Lonchura striata: one gene and its partners. The protein of the gene in region 3 interacts with the protein of the main gene of each other region in a pairwise test. Links are inferred from orthologs where the notes say so. Each region holds a gene or a part of one and is shown on either strand. Other genes may lie near its edges.

Region 1 (7,440 bases), on a different chromosome or scaffold from region 3:
TCCTTAGCTGCCTGTTGGAAATTAATTTTCCATTTATTACTTGGTATTCTAGAAGAGACACACCCTCAGTAATCTGTCTCAGTGCTTGTTCCATGTCTTTTCAGGCAAACCCAATTCCAGATAAATTGTACAGCTCCAGGTAAACTACAGACCAGGGATGGAGCTGACTCCTATTTGGCCCTGATGGCATGTTGGGAATGGGTTTTTTTTTGAAAAAATAACGCACAGAGAAATCCAGCATTGAAAAAAATGGACTTTGGGGACAGCGATAAAAAGACTTTTATTACAGAATCTTTTCTTTTTTTATTAGTAAAGCATACAAACTAGACAGGCCAAATACAGTATTAACTCACTCTTCAGATTTTTACCCACTGCTATTTACCATTATTTTGTTGTTGGGTCTTTTTTTTTTGTGAAAGTCACCATTAGAAAAACAAAATGTTTTTTGGGGAAAACACTTTTTGTTCCTCATACAGCTTCCCTTACTGCCTGAACCATATATGTTTTTATCCACAGTAAAATATTTTTAAAGATTAATTTGACATGTCTGATTATTCCTAAGGCAGCCTGTAATTTTCTTCACTACAAACACATTAATTTACTGAAGCAGTCACTGAACAACACAGTTGAATCTGGAATAGCTCCATAAACTCTACAACTATTTCTGGAGCACAACAGTTTGTTCTAAGCAGTTCTGGCAGAAACTGCAAGAGCTTGTAAGATGGTGCTACTCACTTGATTCAATAGCATCCAGCTTCTGGAATGTCCCCAGGATATCTCCATTTACTATTTTGGGTAAGAAATCCCGCAGTTGCATAACTTCAGTTGTCAGCCTTTCCAAATCCCTCCTTCTGACTTTTACGAATTCCTCTTTGGTCTCAGCCTTCTGAAATAAAACAACAAAGCAAAAAAAAAAAAACCAAACCAACAACCAACCAAAGACACAGCTGCAGTCCTGTATATACAGTCCTATGACATTATTTCAGCAATTTGTAACTTTTTATAGAGAATTATCCAGCAATCAACCCCAAAGTCTCTGAGGTTGACCCTTTGACTGTTATCTTCATTTTTGCCACTGTGGCCTTAAGTAAATAGCATTACCTCTCTTCATGTGTTTCTTCACCCAAAATGTGTAAAATACATTTGGGAATGCTGCAAAAATTAACACTCACATTTTAAAATGTGAGCAGCATGCACCAAGCTGTTGTTTCACGACTGTCGTAAAGGACACAATTACTCAGCTTTTTAATTAATTCAAACATTTGCAAGATCCTCAGTTCTAAATTACAACAACTCTCTTGGAAGAAACTGTACCGTTTTCAAACCAATTTATCTTTTGTGAAGAGCAAAAATTATTTGCAACCATCTGCAACTCAATCTCACATAAAAAATTTAATCCCAAGGTAAGACAGAAATGTTTACTAGCTTCCTCTTCTGCCAAACTATAGCTATAGAATAATTTTCATTCAACATTCCAGCAGAATATGTGTTAAATCTTAAAATTACAGAGCAATTTCTGTACAAAAAACCCCATAAAGTCCAATTTCTGATGTATACATGTGCACTCTGCTAGATGTTTAAAAGGCGGATACACACACACCAAACAAAAAAGAAAGTTTTAATGTATTTTGACTAAAACATCAATCACTCAATATGCTTCCAGAAAGCAAGGTTAAATCTTAGCAGCGCTTTGCACTGCACTGAGAACAGTGCTGACAAAATGAGATGCTTTATGTATCACATTCCAGAGGGAAAAGGCTAACAAACCTAAATCTCATCTCCTAGAGGTTCAAAATGTGCCATCCCTGCAGTCCTCTCACGAGTAGACACACAAGACAAATGGAAGTCATCCTCTCCAACCATTCCCTACAGTTCTTTCTGCTTTCCTACTTCCTCACATTGAACATTTCCTTTCAGTTTTGCTTCCTACTCTATTTCTTTCTCAGCTGTATTTCAAATCCAGAGAGTTCTGGGACAGATCAGTGCCACCACTGCAGGTTCAGAGCTGTAATGAAGGTAGGGAAGAAAAATTTTGCTTTAATTTGAACTGCAAGCTTTAAGCTGCATCGAGGAAGTGCTTATGGCAAGGTTCATAGGCTAACTAGCACTACATAATTACATGACTCTAGAAAAATTCCACCCATCTAGGTCTCAAAAAAGCATGGAGCAAACACATGGGAAGAGGAGTCTTTAGAGGAATGCCATCTGCGTGTCAGCAACCACGAATGACAGAGAGAATTCAGTATTACTCAGACTTACAGAGCAAAATTTCGTACATAAAAATAGCTCTGTTCACTAACAGCTGAATTCAAGTAAAACAGCCTGTGAATCACTGGTGTTGAAATATAAAATATGCGGTAAGGAGAAAATTCTCCTTTGTAGTTCCCACTGTAAGCACAAGTCTTTGCAGCGCTGCAGCTACAGCAGGCAAGTTTTATTTTCTCTGTTTAAGCAGCTTCTCCACATCTCTCTGCACTACAAGAGTATGTTAAAGGCAAATACAGGGGAGAACAGGAGTTTTCTGTCCAGGTAACGGCAGGTGCCAGGAAGTAGGAAATTCGAGTTCTTTCACAGGGGTGAAGTCACCCAGCAATGCACCTGAGCTCATGCCCTGCCCGGTGTGAGCCCAGGGACGGGAATCTCCCTCCCCTGCCACTCCAGGGGCCGAACAGGGCAGAGCTCCCCAGCACGGACTCCCTGCCAGCCTTTCCCCACTCACTCCCCACCAGCCCAGGGCGCCTGTGGCTCCCCAGCCCCACCACGCTGCCCTCTCCCTGCGGCCCCGCCGTCGCCTCCTCAGCGCCCCGTAAGGCCACCACACAGCCCCCGCTGCTTCTGCTGCTCGAGGCACCCGCAGGGACCTCCGGCCGGGCCCGGCCTCTGAGGCAGCCCCGGGCCGCTCGCGATACCTGCGCGTCGCCAGCGAGGCCGGCGCTGCGCCACATCGCGACAGCGGCGACAGCGGCGACAGCGAGCGGCGACAGCGGCGACAGCGAGCGGCGACAGCGGGGCAGCGTGAGGGAGCGGAGCGCGGCGGCCACGCCCCTGTGGCCACGCCCCCTGTGGCCGCGCCCGCTCCGATTGGCTAGTCCCGTGTGGGGGCGTGGTCTGGTACTCAGGCTCCGCCCCCAGCCCCGCCCGGAGCGGCCGCGGGATAACACCGGGATAAAACATCGGGATGACACTGGGACAACACCGCGATAACGCTGGGGTAGAGGTGGGATAACACCGGGAGAACAACCGTGACAATGCCGGGACTACACCGGGTTGTGGAGCTGCAGCCCGGCCGTGCCGTGGTGCCGCTGGAGGGTGCAGGGAGCGACAGCAAGTTGGGAGGGAGGATTGATCTGCTGGAGGGCAGAGAGCCTCTGCAGGGGGATCTGGGCAGGCTGGATGGAAGGACCGAGTGGTGGGAGGTTCAGCAAGGCCAACTGCCGGGTCCTGCACTTGGGTCACAACAAGCCCCTGCAGCTCCAGGCTGGGGAAAGAGAGTCTGGAAAGCTGCACGGAGGAAAAGGAGCTGGGGTGCTGGTCAGCAGAGGCCGAACATGAGCCAGGTGTGCCCAGGTGGCCAATAAGGCCAATGGCACCTGGCTTGTGTCAGCAATGGTGTGGCCAGCGGAACCAGGGCAATGATTGTGTAGGGCACATCTCAGGTGCTGTGTCCCGTTCTGGGTCCCTCCGTTCGGGAAGGACGCGGCACCACTGCCGTGGGTGATCGGCCACAGGCTGGACTCGATGACCTCAGAGTTCTTTTCCAGCCGTGATGATCTGCGGGCGCTGCGGGCGGTGGGGATCCCGCGGGTGCCTCCCGTGGGTGAGCCAGGTGCCGGCCAGCCCCGAACTCCGCGGCGCTGCCGTCCCTGCGCTCCGCCTTCCCCGCGGTGACGGCACAGCCCGGCGCCGCTGACGGCATCGGGCGGAGCGCGGCGCGGGCGGGCCGGGCCGGGACACGGACACGGGCCGGGACACGCAGGGACACGGGCAGGCCGGGCCATGGCTCCCGCGGCCGTGCAGCCGCCCGAGGTGCAGTTCGCGCAGCGCTTGGCCGCCAACGAGAAGCGCATCCGAGACCGCGCCCTCAAAAAGCTGCGGGGCTACATCGGCGTGCGGAGCCAGCGCCCCGGCGGTACGGACCGGACCGGGCCGGGGCGGCGGGCAGGGACCGGGGGAGGGACGGGGACGGGTCCCGGTGCCGGTGCCGTGGCGGGGGGAGCGGCGGCCCCGGCGGACGGACGGCACGGGGAGGGAAGGAAACAGCACGTGTGCGCCCTGAGCCCGGCACGCCTCCTCGGGCTTTTTTTTTTTTTTTTTTTTCTCTTTGTTGGGTTTTTTAGGGCTTTGTTGTTGTTTTTTTTTGACTTTACCAATTTTTCCCATTTTTGCCTTTTTTTTTTTTTTTTTTTTTTTTCGCCCTGTATACGCACGTGTTGCCCCGGTGCTGCCGCAAGCGCAGCCCCAGCAGCACCCGGGAGCCGAGGCGCTCTGGATCCTCGCTCGGGAAGTGTCTCCGGGCACTGGAGGAGCTCGGGAAGGATCAGCTTGGATCGAGGGAGGGTTTTGCTGGCAACATTAACAAATCCGGGATGGGAGCAGGGTGGCTCGTGTGCTCTCGTTCCCAAGGAACAGGGGTGTAAATGCACTGAAGTGATCCAGGCTGGAAACATCCCGGTATATGCTGCATAAAGTTTCATCTTCTGTTGTTTCTGTGAGCTGATGTCTGTCTGTTTCCGTGACTGATATTCAGGAGCATCGGAGGGAATCGAGGAAAGCTACATGCTTCAGCACTTGTGTAATTGCAGCTGGTTCTGTGTAACACATTTAGGTTACTTGTTACCTTCACTTCATGCTAACGAAAGCATTTTTCTTCGTTTTTCCAAAAATTCTACTTGGAGCTATATATTGGCACCTTAGAACTAAGAGTTCAGTGGTGTCCTTGGAGTCTGTTTGAGGCTGGCAAGGCCAGTCTGAAGGTCCGTGTACCTGAAAATGCCTCGGGTGCACAGTTTCCACATGGATGTGTATTATTCCTATACCTCATATTACATATAATGTAATGTATAATCTCTATTTTATGTTTCTTTTCTATAAAACATATATTTTATAAGCTGCATTCTACAGTATTCTATTACCATATATTCTAATTATTTATTATTGCATTTTACAAGTATATTTTATATATTAGTATATATTATATATGTATGGCTTTGGGGAACCAGCCTAGAGCTGGCCTCAGGAGCTAATCTGGAGTGCTGGCTGGACCTCCATGACTTCCTTGAAAAGACTGTAGAGAGAATATTGCTTCTTGTCTTTCCAAGTAGTATTTGACCCATTAGCCACATCTGACAGAGGGTAGGACACCTAGAACAGTCTTACAGGGTCAGGCCAGGGAGCCAAACAGGCATTATCCCATTCCTGGCAGTTAACATAGATTTAGGGATTTCCTGGGCACTAGGACAGTGTACATCATGTATCTCCCAAGAACATTCTATTTTTTAGCTCTGGAGACTTTCTAAGGGGGAACAGGTTCAGGCACTGCTTTAGAGCATCATGAAAGCATCACAGGGAAATTGCTCAGTTGGGCTGTGAACCTTTTGCATGTTACAATCAGCACACCATGGGATGCAAATGAGTAGGAAACAAGGGTGACTAATTTCCAGAGCTCTTAGATTTACTTGCTGTTAGGTGGTATTGAAACGAAGATTAAGTACTTCGGGCTTGGAGAAAAAGCATGTTCAGGAGAGAGGGTTTTTTTACAGTTAATTTATTAATTAGCAGTCTTGTACCCATCTCCAGTGTTCTGAGAGGGATTCACACATCAGGTAACCCAGGTAGGATGCCCTGACCTGAGGAGTTGAGAATGTGCTGACTTCTGGCAGAAGTGATGGAATTCACCTGATGTTCAGGGCTCTCAGGTGTTTATTAGGTGGACAGGACTGCTCTGTTGGTCTGTGCTAAGGCTGAGGGAGCTTCTTCACAGAGCCAGAGCTCTTAATTTTCAAGAAATTAAGCTCTGTGGAAGGCATTGAACTAACCAAATTAATTGAAGAAAGAACAGTAAACAGAAATAACTTCCAGTAAAAGAGGGCAGATTGCTGGGTGGGTTTCCTGTCTGACAGAGCTGTGCTGACTTGTGCCTGGATCTGTAAAGGATTTCTGTAATTTCCACTGAAATATCCCTGTGTGGATCTGGTCCATTGCAATTATCTAGAAAAGGAAAAATGGTAACAAATTCAATTATAACAGTGTCAAAGCAGCCAAACTCCCAGACAGAGAGGCTGACAAGGCTTGCAGTAAAGTAGCTCTGAGTGGTTGTAATGTGTTAATCCCAGCTCCCACAGTACACAGAACAGAGTTACTGTGCAGAGGGACAGTTGAAATTCAAGCCCTAAAGCCACAATCTTTCTCAGGATAGGTTCAAGGTATAGAAGGCCTTCAGTTCTGGGCACTGTGGTTGTTAATACAATGCATTCGGGTTTTAAAATAACTTTAATGGTTATTATTTGCCAGCTGTGGCTGGGGAACAGCACATAAAGCTGAACAGAAAACACTATATTGAAACTACTCTTTTGAGACATTAGGATAAGAAAATTGCTGTAATTTTTGGTCAGAGTCTTATGTCAAATTGGCACAGGACTGCCTAGGACGCTTTAAAAAGCCCTGTGTGTATGAAAAGCAACCTCATAAAAGTGTGTGTTTTCTTCCCTCAGAGCACAGGAACAGGCTGTTCAGGGCAGTGGTGGAGTTAATGTCCCTGGAGGGATTTAAAAGATGTGTAGATGTGGCACTTGGGGATAGGGTTTAGTGGTGGCCTTGGCAGTGATTATCTGAGAGGTCTTTTCCAACCTGAATAATTCTGTGATACAATTCTGGGAACTCCTGAGCCACATCTATAGGTAGCAGGTGATGCCTCTGTCTGATACTTCTGTAGGGTTCATGCTGCCAGTAAGGTTGAAACTGCTTCTTACCACTCAGTATGTCACATATAATTCAGTTAAGAAATGTTATTAATTTTAATATTTCAATAAATATTAATTCCGTTAATAAATTTGTTTCATATTTTATCGTAACAGTATTGTCAAATCTAAATTTAATGCTTAATATTACTGGACACATTGCTTCCTACATAGCATTTTGCCTATTTTCTCACTTCTTTTCTTTTCAACCAAGCAGGACTAATCTGTGTGCAGGTGTTTTTGTCCTTTGGTCCAAAGGAAGGTGCACAATTTAGATCTTGCACTGGGTTTCAGACTTTTTGACTTTTTTTGAGACAATGATCTTTTTGGAGCAAATTTGAGCTTACTGAAGATGATGACCTTTTCAAAGTGTTTTTTTTATGGGATTGCTTGGGAATATTTAATAGGCCATAGTTTGAAAATAACTGTAGTAGGTCATTGTAGCTGCCTTGTAACAATGTACTGTTAAAATTTTACTTCACAT
Region 2 (7,935 bases), on a different chromosome or scaffold from region 3:
GTACACCTTATGCACACCTGCACAGGTACACCTTACACACACCCGTATCACCCTGCACACACCTCTGCACACACCTGTACTGGTACACCTCTGCACACACCTGAACAGATACACCTTACGCACACCTGCACAGGTACACCTTACGCACACCCCTATCACCCTGCACACACCTCTTCACACACCTGTACAGGTACACCTTACCCATATCACCCTGCACACACCTCTTCACACACCTGTACAGGTACACCTTACCCATATCACCCTGCACACACCTCTGCACACACCTGTCCAGGTACACCTTACCCGTATCACCCTGCACACACCTCTGCACACACCTGTACAGGTACACCTTACCCGTATCACCCTGCACACACCTCTGCACACACCTGCACAGGTACACCTTACCCATATCACCCTGCACACACCTCTGCACACACCTGCACAGATACACCTTACGCACACCTGTTTCACCCTGCACACACCTCTGCACACACCTGTACTGGTACACCTCTGCACACACCTGAACAGATACACCTTACGCACACCTGCACAGGTACACCTTACGCACACCCCTATCACCCTGCACACACCTCTGCACACACCTGTACAGGTACACCTTACCCGTATCACCCTGCACACACCTCTGCACACACCTGCACAGGTACACCTTACCCGTATCACCCTGCACACACCTCTGCACACACCTGCACAGGTACACCTTACCCGTATCACCCTGCACACACCTGTCACCCCCTTTAACCCGGTGAAGCGCCCAGGTGACTCCTGCTCCACCTGGGCGGAGCACAGGCAGGTGCAGGCAGCGCCGCCTCCCAAGAGCCGGCAACAACCCCGGGAAAGGCCGGCTCCCGCCGGCAGGAGCTGCGGCCGGCTGCTCCCGGGGGTACCTGCGCACAGGTGCGGCTCACCTTGGTTCAGGTAGGTGAGGGTCTCGTCGTGCAGCTTGACGGCGGGCGACGTGGCGGCGCACAGCACGTACTGGAAGGGCAGCAGCTTGTCCTGGCTCTCCGGGGGCAAGCTGGACTCCTCCTGCTTGAAGATGGGCAGAGCCAGGACATCGCTGCAGGTGGGGAGAGAGTCACCTGAGTCACCTGGGAGTCACCTGGGAGTCACCTGAGACAGGTGAGCTGGCGGTCAGGGGTGCCATCAACCCGAGCTGGCCTTGGCACCTGGAGGAAGAGCCCCCCAGGAACCCGGCCCTGCCTCTGGAGCCGGCCCGAGCCCAGGGATCCAGGTGTGCCCTGAACCTCTGGCCTCAGGTGCTCACCTGAAACACACCTGTGGCCATCCGAATACACCTGTCAGCACCCCTAATCCTGACCCCAGCACTACAACAACCACAATTCCAGCTCTAACTCCAGCCCTGCTCCTTCCCTACTCCAGCCAGAGCTCCAGCCCAACTGCACTCCGATTCCATCCCTACTGCATCCCAAATCCATCCCAAATCTATCCTCACAGCATCCTGAATCCCCGAATCCATCCCGAATCCATCCCAAATCCATCCCGAATCCATCCCTACTGCATCCCAAATCCATCCCTACTGCATCCCGAATCCATCCCAAATCCATCCCAAATCTATCCTCACAGCATCCTGAATCCCCGAATCCATCCCGAATCCATCCCAAATCCATCCCGAATCCATCCCTACTGCATCCCGAATCCATCCCAAATCAATGCCTACTGTATCCCAAATCCATCCCGAATCCATCCCAAATCCATCCCAAATCCATCCCAAATCCATCCCAAATCCATCCCAGCTGTACCCCACCCTCCTCTCGAATCCATCCCAGCCCCAAATGCAGCTCGGGGCTTTCCTTCAGCCGTAATTCAAATTAAACTCTCCCCCAACTCCATCCCAACTCCATCCCAACTCCATCCCTACTCCATCCCAACTCCATCCCAGCTCCATCCCAACTCCATCCCAACTCCATCCCAACTCCATTCCTACTCTATCCCAGCTCCTTCCCAACTCCATCCCAACTCCATTCCTACTCTATCCCAGCTCCATCCCTACTCCATCCCAACTCCATTCCTACTCTATCCCAGCTCCTTCCCAACTCCATCCCAACTCCATCCCTACTCCATCCCTACTCCATCCCAACTCCATCCCTACTCCATCACTATTCCATCCCAACTCCATCCCAACTCCATCCCAACTCCATCCCAATCCCAATTCCCCCCAATGCCCCCACTTCCCCCTTGATGCCCCAACTTTGGCACAGCTCAGGGTTCCCCGTGCCCCTGGCACCCCCTGCCATTCTGGGGACCCCCAGAGATTTTGGGACCCCCGTGAGATTCCAGGGACCCCTGGAGATTTTGGGACACCCCCGAGATTCCAGGGACCCCTGGAGATTTTGGGATCTCCCCAGAGATTCTGGGGACCCCTGGAGATTTTGGGACCCCCCGAGATTCCAGGGACCCCCGGAGATTTTGGGACCCCCCGAGATTCCAGGGACCCCCGGAGATTTTGGGACCCCCCGAGATTCCAGGGATCCCCAGAGATTTTGGGACCCCCCTGAGATTCTGGAGTCGCCACCAGGGATTTGAGATCCCTTAATGAAGATCCTGGAGAACCCGCAGGATTCTGGGGACCCCTGGGGACTTTGGGGTTTCCCTTGGAGATTCTGGGGACTCCTGGCGATTTTGGGGTTTCCCTTGGGGGTTCTGGTGATCCACAGAGATTTTGGGGTGCCTCTGGTGATTCCGGGGTCCCTTCCTGCTTTGGGTACCGGTGCTGAGGTGCTGCCCGACGCCTTCAACCTCCAGCTCATTTTGGGGCTCCCCGCTCCCTGCACGGCCCCTGCCTTCCCCGGGATGTTCAGGGGTGCCCCGTCGGTTTTGGGGTGCCCCGTCGGTTTTGGGGTGCCCTGTCATTTCGGGGTGCCCGGTACCTCATGCTGTAGGCGCCGGCGCCCAGCTCCTGCCCGATGCCCGAGAGGCTGGCGTCGAAATCCTGCACCAGCCCCGACTCGATCACCTCGTCCGCCAGCGGCAGCTTCAGCGCCCACGCCATGGCCCCGGCACCCCAAAAACGGCTGCCGGCTCACCCCCAGACACGGGGGGTCCTCAGGGTCACCCCGCAGAAAAGGGGGCCGTCGTGGTCACTCCAAAAACAGGGGGTGTTTGGGACACCCCAAAAATGGGGGGTCTGGAGCTACTCAGAGGTGGGGGTGTCTTGGGAACACGGCAGAGGCGGGGGTTTGGGGCACCCCCAAACACGCGGGTCCTTGGGGTCACCCCAAAAAGGGGCTTGCAGGGGTCACCCCAAAACCAGGGGGCCCTGGGGTCACCCCCAAACCGATGGGCCAATATCTTCAGTGTCACCCCAAAAATAGGGCTCCTCAGTCACCCCCAACCCAGGGTCTCCCTGGGGCACCCCAACACCCCTCCCTGATTTCTGGGGGTACCAGAGCCCCCCAAACCTCTTGAGGACCCTCTGTTGCAGTGACCAACCTGGGTACCCCCAAACCCCACTACCACAGGCAAATGAACCCCAAAACCCAGCGACACCCCCGAGGCTGCACCCCGCCCTTGGAGCACCTCAAAAGGAACACTCGGGGGGACCCCCAAACCCCAAAACCCCTGAGAGGCAGCACCGCCGGGGGGCCCCGAGTTCTACAGACCGACCCCGAGGGCTGCACCGGGGAACCCCAAAATCCTGCACTGCCCTCCAAGGGCTGCACCGGGGAACCCCAAAATCCTACAGTCCCCTCCAAGGGCTGCACCCAAGGGGACCCCAAAATCCTGCACTGCCCTCCAAGAGCTGCACCCAAAGGGACCCCAAATTCCTGCACTCTCCTGCAAGGGCTGCACCCAAGGGGGACCCCAAAATCCTACAAATGGGGACCCCAAAATCCTACAAAGGGGGACCCCAAAATCCTACAGTCCCCTCCAAAGGCTGCACCCAAAGGACCCCAAAATCCTGCACTCCCCTGCAAGGGCTGCACCCAAGAGGACCCCAAATTCCTGCACTCTCCTGCAAGAGCTGCACCCAAGGGGGACCCCAAAATCCTGCACTGCCCTCCAAGAGCTGCACCCAAGGGGACCCCAAATTCCTGCACTCTCCTGCAAGGGCTGCACCCAACTGGGACCCCAAAATCCTACAGTCCCCTCCAAAGGCTGCACCCAAGGGGACCCCAAAATCCTGCACTGCCCTCCAAGGGCTGCCCGCGGGGATCGCCCCAATCCAGGCCAGGATCCCAAATTCGAGCCGGGACCCCCCAGTCCAGGCTGGGACCCCCACTCCAGTCCGGGACCCCCAATCCAGGCGGGACCCCCAATCCAGTCCGAGACCCCCACTCCAGTCCGGGACCCCAGTCCAGTCCGGGACCCCCGATCCAGTCCGGGCCCGCCCGCTCCGGGCCGGGACCCCAAACGCGCCGCTCCGCCAAGATGGAGGCGGAGGCCCCACCCCCGCCGCTGGGCTGTGGCCCCGCCCCTCGGCCCCGCTCAGCCAATGGGACCTGGCGTTGCCGCGTGACGGCCAGCAAAAGTAACCAATAGAGAGCTGCGCGCCTGGCAGGCCGCTCGGGGATTGGCTGGGGGGCGTGGCCGCGGCGGCGGGCGGAGCTGGGCTGTGTGCGGCGCCTGCCTAGGCCCGCGGGTTCGATTCCCGCTCCCGCCGCTGCGCCGGCCGCGGAGCAGGGCCGAGCGGGAGGAAGGACCCCCCCACAAAAAAGGGGAAAGGAAAAGAAAAAAGAAAAATACAGTTTATTTCACACCACTACATCAAGTGCATCAGTCTGCCGCGGCCCCGTGTCCCCCCCGGAGCTCCCCTCCCATCGCTCCCGGCGGGGCTGGAGCCCCCCGGGCTCCGGGCAGGGGGAGGTGGGGAAGGGGCGCTGCCTCTGCTTTGGGGTTCACGCCCCCCACGCCCGGGGTGATGTCCCCAAAATCCACCCACGGGACCTCCCCAAGGTGGGGGATCACCCCCAGAAGCCCCTCACGAGGTGGGGGACCCGCAAAACCAGCGTGGGGTGACATAAATTTGGGGTCAGCCCCGGTGAGCCGTAACATCGCCTCAGTAACACAGCAAAAAGAGCAAAACCCAGAAAAATGTAACTCGCTGATTTTGGGTGGGTGTGTGACACTCGGGGGGGTCTGTCACCACCTGTGTCACAGGTGGGGAGGGGTGACACCAACACGCTCGGGTCGTGTGTGACAGGAGGGAACGGGGGACACACAGGCACAGGTGGGCACAGGTACAGGCGCGGGGGCAGAGGGACAAAAGGGTGGCCAAAGGGACAAAATCAGTGGCCAAAGTGCTGATGGCTGGAGGTCAAGGGGCTGTGACTGGTGGGACACACAGAGGGATTCCCAGTGCTCCCAGTTCAGTGCGCTGAAGGGCGCAGCGGGGGTGGGCACAGGTAGGGGCACGGGGCTGGAGGGACAAAAGGGTGGCCAAAGGGACAAAATCAGTGGCCAAAGGAACAAAATCAGTGGCCAAAGGGACAAAAATCAGTGGCCAAAGGGACAAAATCAGTGGCCAAAGGAACAAAATCAGTGGCCAAAGGGACAAAAATCAGTGGCCAAAGGGACAAAATCAGTCGCCAAAGTGCTGATGGCCGGTGGTCATGGGGGACTGTGACCGGGAACTGGGATGTTCCCAGTGCTCCCAGTTGAGAATGTGTGGAAGACATTGAATGTTGGACACAAGTACAGGGGTGCTGGACACAGGTACAGGTGTGCTGGACACAGGTATGGACATGGTGGACACACATACAGACATTGTGGACACACGTACGGACATGGTGGACACAGGTACAGGGGTGGTGGACACAGGTACAGGTGTGCTGGACACAGGTACGGACAGGGTGGACACACATACGGACATGGTGGACACAGGTACAGGGGTGGTGGAAACAGGTACAGGTGTGCTGGACACAGGTACGGACATGGTGGGCCCAGATACAGGTGTGGTGGACATGAGTATAGGTGTGGTGGACACAGGTATGGGCATGGTGGACACGAGTATAGGTGTTGTGCACACAGGCACAGGTGTGTTGTACAGAGGTACCGGGGTGCTGGACACAGGCACAGGTGTGGTGGACACTGGTACAGGTGTGGTGGACACTGGTACAGGTATGGTGGACACTGGTACAGGTGTGGTGCACACAGGTACAGCTGTGGTGGACACTGGTACAGGTGTGGTGGACACTGGTACAGGTGTTGTGCACACAGGCACAGGTGTGCTGGACACACGTACGGGCATGGTGGACACAGGTATGGACATGGTGGACACAGGTACAGGTGTGGTGCGCACAGGCAGAGGTGTGGTGGACACAGATACGGGTGTGGTGGACACTGGTACAGGTGTGGTGCACACAGGTACAGCTGTGCTGGACACTGGTACAGGTGTGGTGGACACTGGTACAGGTGTGGTGCACACAGGTACAGCTGTGGTGGACACTGGTACAGGTGTGGTGTGCACAGGCACAGGTGTGCTGGTGGAACCAGGTGTCAGGGGGACAGAACCAGGTGTCAGAGGAACAGAACCAGGTGTCACGGGAACAGAACCAGGTGTCAGCAGGACAGAACCAGGTGTCAGGGGGACAGAACCAGGTGTCAGCGGGACAGAACCAGGTGTCAGAGGAACAGAACCAGGTGTCAGGGGGACAGAACCAGGTGTCGGGGTGACAGAACCAGGTGTCAGCGGGACAGAACCAGGTGGCAGAGGAACAGAACCAGGTGGCAGAGGGACAGAACCAGGTGTCAGAGGAACAGAACCAGGTGTCACGGGAACAGAACCAGGTGGCAGAGGGACAGAACCGGTGCCCGAAGTGCCGGTGGCCGGAGGCCGGGGGCACAGGGGCGCTCCCGGCCGGGCACTGGGAGGTGCCGGGCGCGGCCGTCAGGGCACATGGAAGACGTTGAGCTTGCTGGTGTTCTTGAGCGTCTGGCGGCGGTTGCAGAACCAGACGCGCACCACCTCGCGCTCGTAGCGCAGCTCCTGCGCGATGCGCGTGATCTCGGCGCCCGTGGGCAGCGCGTTGCGCTCGAAGTGCGCGTTGAGCGCCTCCAGGGCCTGCGGCGTGAAGGACGTGCGCCGCTTGCGCTTCTTGCCCGGCTCGCCGCCCACGAACTCCAGCAGGTGCTGCTGCCCCTCGCGCTGCCGCTGCTCCGCCTCCCGCAGCCACTTCTCCAGCACCGGCTTCAGCTTCTGCGCGCTCTTGGGCGTGATGTCCAGCTTCTCGAACCTGGGGACACGGGGACAGTCAGAGGGGATGTCCAGCTTCTCGAACCTGGGGACACGGGGACAGTCAGAGGGGATGTCCAGCTTCTCGAACCTGGGGACACGGGGACACGGGGACACTCAGGGGGACACAGGGACACTCAGAGGGACACAGGGGACACTCAGGGGACACTCAGGGGACACTCAGGGGACACTCAGGGGACACTCAGGGGGGATGTCCAGCTTCTCGAACCTGGGGACACGGGGACACTCAGGGGGACACAGGGACACTCAGAGGGACACAGGGGACACTCAGGGGACACTCAGGGGACACTCAGAGGACACTCAGGGGGGATGTCCAGCTTCTCGAAACTGGGGACACATGGGGACACTGGGGACACTCAGGGGACACTCAGGGGACACTCAGGGGGAATGTCCAACTTCTCAAACCTGGGGACACAGGGACACTCAGGGCACACTCAGGGGACACAGGGGACACTCAGGGATGACACTCAGAGGACACTCAGGGAGGACACTCAAGGGGGGATGTCCAGCTTCTCGAAACTGGGGACACTGGGGACACTCAGGGGACACTCAGGGGGGACGCAGGGGGGACGCAGGGAACACTCAGGGGACACTCAGGGGGCACACAGGGGACGCTGGGGACACTCAGGGGACACTGGGCAGGGATGTCTTGGGGCTGATGTCCATCTTGTCAAACCTGCGGGGATGTGGAGGACACGGGA
Region 3 (7,565 bases):
TTAACACCAGAAACTTAATTATTTCTCATCCATTCACCTTACACCTATGGGCACCAGGAATTTATTAATTTTTAACAGCTTTATTTCCTCTTTCCTGTTTCAAAGCCTGTAGTTTTACAGAGGTACTAAGGGCCTGTGTCTCATCCACAAATCCAAGCAGAAAACTTTAAATACACAAGACAAAGCATGCTGAGTATCACACAGCTGACAATACCCAGAACCAGCTGCTCACTGTTTGAAAACTCAGCTGCATATCCAAGCCCCTTGACTAGGCAAACTAAGTAATAAATTTCTCTGGTAGATTGATTCCTTCCTTTGGTTTTGAAACAGATTCATTAATTATTCTTTAAGATCCATAGGTCAAAACACACAAACCACTTCATTTCAAACCACCTAGCCTTTTTCATGCGCCAGCAGGAGCATCGCTATAATTACTATCTGGAAACTAAACTGGATTAAAGTTGCTTTTCCCCCACACTTTTCCTTTTTTCCTCCAGGTTGACTTTTACTCAGCTTGATTCCTCAGCCCAATTCCCTGTTTGGGTGACACTTGTGCTAGCAGAGAGAGAAGGCAATGCAGGGCAGCACTGCTGACTTCTGCCAGCTAAGCTGCTCGGGGAGCCACAGCTAAATGTCTCCTGGGACTACTTCTAATTCTAGCAGGGACAAATGCCACTGCTGCTCTTCAGCCTAGCATTACTCTCTGCAGGCTGGAGATGCAATTACAGCAACCGTGCTGGGGACACCTAAAACAGAACTCAAGGTTTGTTCTGTGAAAGATTAAGCCACCAACACCTGCTCAGTGCAAGCATAATTTGGATCCTGTCAAGTGACCTGAATACAAAAGGGTTTGAATCTTGACAGTTTTTGAAAATGTCCCTCCCGAGTGTAGCAATTACCTAAATTAGCAGCTCTTGAAGTGTGGTGTTCAAGCTACTGAGCATGGCTTGCAGAACTGGTCTCATTTTTACAGTGTCTTCAATTTAAAGCTGAGACATGCAAAATGCCACAGTGGTTGACAAGAAATGCTGTGAACTGAGATCAGCCTGATCCTATCAAAAATTCAAAAGCCACTTGTCTAAACCAAGATGAACTAATTCACTTCAAACAACCCAAAGAAAAAAAAACCTCAAACTGCACCACACACGTACCCCAGGAGGTGAGCACTCACAGCTCTGCCAGGAGCTGCAGCTGCTGTGCTCAGAGAATCCTCTGTTCACCCACACATCCTTCTTGACCAGGAAGATGAAGCTGCCTGGCTGTACACAGCAGAGTTTGCTCTCCAGCTACTTTCAGGCTTTTGGTAACAATTTCTGAGTCTAATCCAAGCTCTCCTGAGCAATAGGATAGGGCTGGCATATCAGTTTCTTGTTCCCTGCAGAAGGGCAATGAAACTTGTTTGTCTACTTAACCACTACTTGTTACCACTTGGGAAAAGCAACTTGTAGCAAGGAAACCACCACATCTGTCTACACATTGCCCAGCAAAAATACAGCCAAGACTTCTGCTTGTCCAAATATTTGTCTTCCTCTTCAGTCCACATACCAGTATCCCCCACTCAGACAGGAAGCACAAATAACTCCAAAATTAGTTTCTGAAAGCTTAGAACAGGTAATGAAAAAACAGATTTCTAGTAATATATAAGGTACAAAGTAAAATTCTGTATGAAAAGTCCACCTACAACTGAAGATAAGCAAGTAGGCTTATTTCCTTTCTCTCTCTCAATCTAAGGCTAATAATAGTCATATCATAATAATGTTTAAAAAAAAAATAATAATTCCTGGTCAGACTTAACTACAAGTTCAGGGTTTTGTGAAAAACCTGCAGGTACTTCTGCTTTTCCACAAAGGTTCACAGGATAACATGTCCTCTTTGATCAGTACCTGAGCTTTAAGAAGAAGCATTTTTCCCTCTTAAGTTTGAAAAAGACAAATCGGAACCCTTCTAGTGAGAACACTAAGAAGCAAGCAGCAGCTAAACTCTGAGGAAAGGCTAACAATAAACTCCTTTGCAATATAAGCAATCCATGCTCTACCAGGAAATTCAACAGGTAAACCCCCCTCCCCCATATACTAGAGGCTAAAACCAGGCATGTTATCTACTACAATTATTTAAGCCACATAAACACTCTCTCTACTTGTTTATTACGATAAGACCAAGTAGGAAACAGCCTGCACCAGGTGCTGCCCAGGAGGAGGTCTCGGGTGGGGGCAGAGCAGCTGCACAGCTCATCAGAGGCAGCGTCGGGCCGGGCCTCGCTGGCTTCGCCCTGGCGCACCAAAGCTCCAGGAGACGAGAAGCAGCCCCGACAACGCAAGAGAGCAGAATCACAGACTATGCTGAGTGGGAAGGGATCATCAGGATCACCGATTGCAACTCCTGGCCCCGCGCGAAATACCCCAGGAATCCCACCGTGCGCCTGAGAGCGCTGTCCGAGCAACACAACGCGTCTTTCCCACCGAACACCCGGGAGAACTTGGGAGAAGCTGCCTGCTGCCATCTCATCGCATGAGTCTGCAGGACGCGGCCCCGCGGGCGGCACGGGCAGGAGCGCCGGGAGCCGAGGCACGACCCGGCCGCGGCTCCGCCGGCCGCGGGCTGCACCCGGGAACGTTCCCGAGGGGAGCGGCGGGCGCGCCCTGCCCGGCCGGGCTGCCGGGACGGGGATCGCCCGCGGGACAGCCGGGCAGGGCGCCGGGGCACCGGGGCCCTGCGGGGGGCGGCACCGGCCCGCCCGGCCCCGTCCCGCTCGCCACCCGCGGAGCGCCGGGGCCGCCAAGGACGGCAGCGCTCCCGTCCCCGCCGCAACTTTGGGGCAACTTCTCCCCCCAGCCGCCCCTCGCCCCGGCCGTGTCGCTCACCCCCAGATGACATAGTTGGTCTTGACGTTCTTGGGCCAGGAGAACTCTCCGAAGATCACCTCGTCGCCCTTGACCACGATCTCCTTCTTCTGCGTGTTGTACTGCCGCAGCACGCTCAGCACGTCCGCCATCTTCGCCCGGCCGCCGCCGCTCCGGCCGCCGCCGCCCGCCGCAGGACCCCGCCGGCGCGCCCCGGGCTGCCCGCCGCGAATGCCTGAGCCGGCGCCGCCGCGCCGCCTACTTGAGGCGACGCCGGACTCGTTGCCATGGCAGCGGCGCGGGCCCGCCCCGCAGGGAGGGGCGGGGCCGGATGAGGCCACGCCCCTCTGCCCTCACGGCGGAGGCCACGCCCCCTCACGGCGGAGGCCACGCCCCTCTGCCCTCACGGTGGAGGCCACGCCCCTCTGCCCTCACGGTGGAGGCCACGCCCCCCGCCCTCACGGCGGCCCGGGCGGGGCGGGGCGGGGCGTGTGGGGGCGGCTTTGTCCGTCCTGGGCACACGGGGCTTTCTTGTGTCTTATGTGAAAATAGAGCTTCACACACAGTCACTGCCGAAGTCTATCGGCGCTGCTTCTCTTCTCTGGAGCTTTGGTGCTCCCGGCTGCGCCGCGCTCCCCGGGCGCGCTGGGATGGTTTTGGGCGGGGGTAACGAAGGGTTTTGGTGGTGCTGAAGGGGTTTTAGAGGGTGCTGGAAGGGGGTTGGTGGTGCTAACGGGGTTTTAGGAATGCTGGGAGGGATTCGTGGATGCTAAAGCACAACTAAAAGGAGCTTTGGGGATGTTGAGGTTTGAGGGGCGTTTGGGGATGCTAGGATAGCATGTGGTACACCGGGAGGAGTTTTAGCGGGGCTAAAGAGACTTGAGAGGGTGCTCAAAGGGATTTGAGGTGCTAATGGGGCTTTAGGGTGTGCTGGGAGGGGTCTGAGAGAGATAAAATGAGTTTGGAGGTGCTGAGGAGGTTTGAGGGGTGTTGGGGGAGCTGGGATGAGGTATGGTGTACTTGGAGGGGTTTTAGTGACACTAAAGAGGTTTTAAAGGGCCCTGGGAGGGGTTTGGGGGTGTTAAGGGGGTTTTATGTCATCACTCCCAGCCATGTGCCCAGCAGCCTGTGGTTGGTAAGGGCTGGGACAGCAGGGTCACAGGAATACCCCAAGAAAACAGTGTAAAAGGAGCAGAGGGAACAGCAGGAAGCAGTATCAATGAAGTTTATGCTGGACATCAGGAAAAGGCTCCTCACCCAGATGAGGGATGATGGGTTAGGCTCCCCAGGGCAGGTAATGGTCCCAGGCCTGCCGGAGTTCCAGAAGCTTTTAGGCAATGTTTTTAGACACATGCTGGAATTATTAGAGTGTCCTGTGCAGGGACAGGAGTTCAGCTCAATGATCCTTGTGGGTTCCTTCCAACCCAGGATATTCTGTGGCTGATTCTCTCAGACACTGTGCATGCATCTCGCTCTGCAGGCTGGAGAGAAAATCTCCTGGATATAAAGCTGGGTAAAAAAAAAAAAAAAAAGACTGAGAAGTCTCTGCTTTATCAATCACAAAAAAGTCCTTTAATTCTGATAGATATAAGCCGTCAAAAGGCCATAGCAAACAAAAGGTCATTAGGAAAATGTTGCCTGTAAATGTGAAGGACAAACAGTAATGCCATGGAGCACATCCCACATTACCCTGCAGAATCTGGGATCTCTGTTTGCTCACCTGAGCAACTGCACAGCTGCAGCTGGTATGTGCTCTCTCCATGCTCTCTCCATGTTCCAAGTTAATTTCTTCTGCTCAAACACACAAAAACTGGGAGCATAGCATTCCCAGAAGAACCAAACTGGTACCCCCTAGGGAATACTGATTGCAGGATCTGAGACCCCCAAACAAACTCTCATCATGACTTATTCTAACCTTTGATGCTCAGAATTTTTTTAACACTCTTCAACACTGGCAGAAAGCATGATACCGTCTTAGATTTGCAAAAGGCAGAATTGGTTAATTTTCATTCTTGTAAGTAACATGTGCTGAGACTGAGAAAACAGACCAAAAGCCAACAGCCTATAGAATTCCCTGTTTCAGTACATTAGTGATATCCCCATCTGTGTCAGAACAACAACATGCAGAGCACCACAAGTGTATTTAAAACATTTCAGATGTGGTATTGAAATAGTCTAGCACACAAATATGTACTACAACACCCAGTAACATGGTGAATTATACCAATCACTGCCAATGTTTATTTGTCAATGGGTATAGAGTAGTATTTGTGTGTTTAGAAGACAAAGGCATGATGAATAAACAATATCATTTCCTGAACTGGATTTGGAATTATTACTGGAACTACAGCTCATGAAAATTGGAACAGGGCTTGAAATGCTTCCCGCAGGCCAAGTCCCATTTCCATGCCTCATCCAAAAGGCCCAGTGTGTCCCTTAAACCAGTGCTACCTCCTCAGAAACACATCCTATACATCTGCTGCACTACAAGCAATACTTCTTTTCATGGGTTACAATGACCCAAAAAGCCCCTCATTTCAGTTCTGCCCAATCTGCTGCTCAGGGAGCAGGGAATGGTGCAGTGAACAGTCAGCTGCACACACAGCTACAAAGAGATTTACTTTCAGGTTTCCAGAAAACGTTGTGGTTCTGGTTTCCTTTTTCATTTAAGGCTGCCTTCACTGGGAGAACACTGAAAAAGAAAGCTGAGCAAGAAGGAGTCTGTGTGCTGGCAGTAGCTCAGGAGGGACAAGCTGCCTGCACCCTTAGGAGCAGCATCCCTGCAGGAGCCCGGCGTGCTGCTCTGGGAGCAGGGAACAAAGCAGGGAGCAGCAGGGAGAGAGTTGGTCTCGCCCTGCTGAAATCAATGCAGATAGGAAACAAAGGATGGAGTGGCACAGGGGTGCCGTGGTCATGCTCTGGCAGGAACAATGCAGGTAACAGGAACTAAGCCAAAGGAATGACCCAAGCCGTGCCCCAGCTTTGTGTCAATACCCCCCATATATGCTCATTACTAAAATCAAGCTCCACTTCAATGGCAAATTATGTCAGACATAACTTCACCTTCTCCTGCCACTCACTGAAAACAATATAAATACAGCTTTAGAGGTAAGGGAGGTCGGAGGAGACTCCATCTCTGTATCCTGGCACTGTCAGAGGGCTCTAGCTAGCTCCTCCCCACAGGGACACCTACTGGGTCAGACTCCAGCACTCGGCTATACCAGGTAAGCACCTCGGGAAATTCAGAAAGCCAGCCTGTGCTTGTGATCATACTCTTAGTGCTACACTGGCATCTCCCATCTGACTGTGCTTGTGGCTGGCTGTATGGTTCACATTCGTGGGCTCACACACACCTCTGCACACAGGGGACTCACCACGGGCTGGGCTGGGCTGGGAGGAACTCCAAAGGTCAGCTCTTTCCAGTGCCACACCACCTCTGCATGTCTGCTGCGGAACTGCCCACGGCTCAGAAGCTAAACCCAGCTGTCCCAGTCCCTCTGATATCTGAGGAACAGCTGGGATGCCAGGGGGGTGATTTTCTGCCAAATTTAATGCAAAAATATAGTGGGTTTACTCTTAACATGCCGCTTCAACTGGGAGTGTACAAAATAGTTCCCACAGTTTGCTTTGGGAATCATAGTGACACAATTAACCAGCATTTAAATCATTGAATCAGGATTTGATGTGAAACTATTTTCATGTGGCATTAGATACCTGAGAGTTTATCAGCTTTATCACAGAACATTGGGCTACAAAATCATTATCTGAAATGGGCAAGTAAGTTACCATTTAGAAAAATGAAAGTATATTACATGGATACAATGTTTCACTTGCATTTTCTCACTACTTTAACAGGTTACACTGATGTTTTGTAGGAAAGCAAAATTAAGTTGCAAAATATTAGACAAATTTACATCATAGGTAAGTTCATTTAAGATTAATCAACATCCAGAAAGATACATCATGCATGAGCACACACTCCCTTTTTTACAGACACATATGAGCAAAAACAAATCAGCACATGAGTGCATTTCCTTGCAGCATTTTTTAAAACATAGGGCTGAGCACTGAACTGTTGCTGTTCGCACTGAACAGTGATCCAGAGCACAATTTACTCTCAACACAGAGGGATTAGAAAAGTTTCTCCACTACTGAAATACTTGTACAGACCCCAGAGGGGCTGCTCAGAGGATATTCCACAGGAGTGCTCTGCCAGGGACACGTATTTGACCAGGCTCCACAGCAAGATATGTGGGGGTGAAATAACAGAATATTGTTGAATAGCTTCTACTGAGGAAATAAAAGGAAATAAAATACCCAACGCCTCCACATAAAGTAAGACCTCTCTTTTTTTTTTTTTTTCCATGAGCCACTAAAAACATTCCACACATTACATGATTAGCCAATTCCACTAACAAACTTCCCAGGTACCAAGAGCAGCTCTTCATCCCCCACCCATTATTTACTCCGTCCCCAACTCCTGTTTCACTGGTCAGTTTCTGACCGAGGAACTGCAAGGCAGGAAAGAAACGTGAGGAAGAACAGGCAACAGAAACGGGGACGGAGAAGACTTAAAGTAAGTTTGACACTGGACAAAGCAAAGGCAGCGCTGAAACCCTCACATCAGGAAGCCAGCCGGGCAGGAGGCCAAATCTGCCCAACTTCCCCACACCAGGAGCGGCTCCGCGGCCTCAGGGAAATCCAGCCCCTCTTCATGGCTCTCCC

Evidence for each region. The genes of interacting proteins can lie anywhere in the genome.
Region 1: the proteins of CDC73 (region 3) and HSF2BP interact in binary tests that used the Homo sapiens proteins (3 or more experiments, as listed by UniProt). The link is inferred for Lonchura striata from reciprocal best matches to the Homo sapiens genes CDC73 and HSF2BP.
Region 2: the proteins of CDC73 (region 3) and TFCP2 interact in binary tests that used the Homo sapiens proteins (3 or more experiments, as listed by UniProt). The two-hybrid records come from large-scale screens. The link is inferred for Lonchura striata from reciprocal best matches to the Homo sapiens genes CDC73 and TFCP2.

Annotation. Positions count from the first base shown.
Region 1 is NC_134604.1:111,746,485-111,753,924, reverse strand, and holds the start of HSF2BP (heat shock factor 2-binding protein), read right to left. Parts: upstream 3,032-7,440; 5' UTR 2,946-3,031; coding exon 2,910-2,945; intron 887-2,909; coding exon 736-886; intron 1-735. Other genes in the region: RRP1B (ribosomal RNA processing protein 1 homolog B), read left to right, coding at 3,997-4,129. UniProt on the Homo sapiens protein: Meiotic recombination factor component of recombination bridges involved in meiotic double-strand break repair.
Region 2 is NC_134629.1:5,118,932-5,126,866, reverse strand, and holds the start of TFCP2 (alpha-globin transcription factor CP2), read right to left. Parts: upstream 3,032-7,935; coding exon 2,910-3,031; intron 1,079-2,909; coding exon 927-1,078; intron 1-926.
Region 3 is NC_134611.1:27,287,844-27,295,408, forward strand, and holds the start of CDC73 (parafibromin), read right to left. Parts: upstream 3,041-7,565; 5' UTR 2,993-3,040; coding exon 2,862-2,992; intron 1-2,861.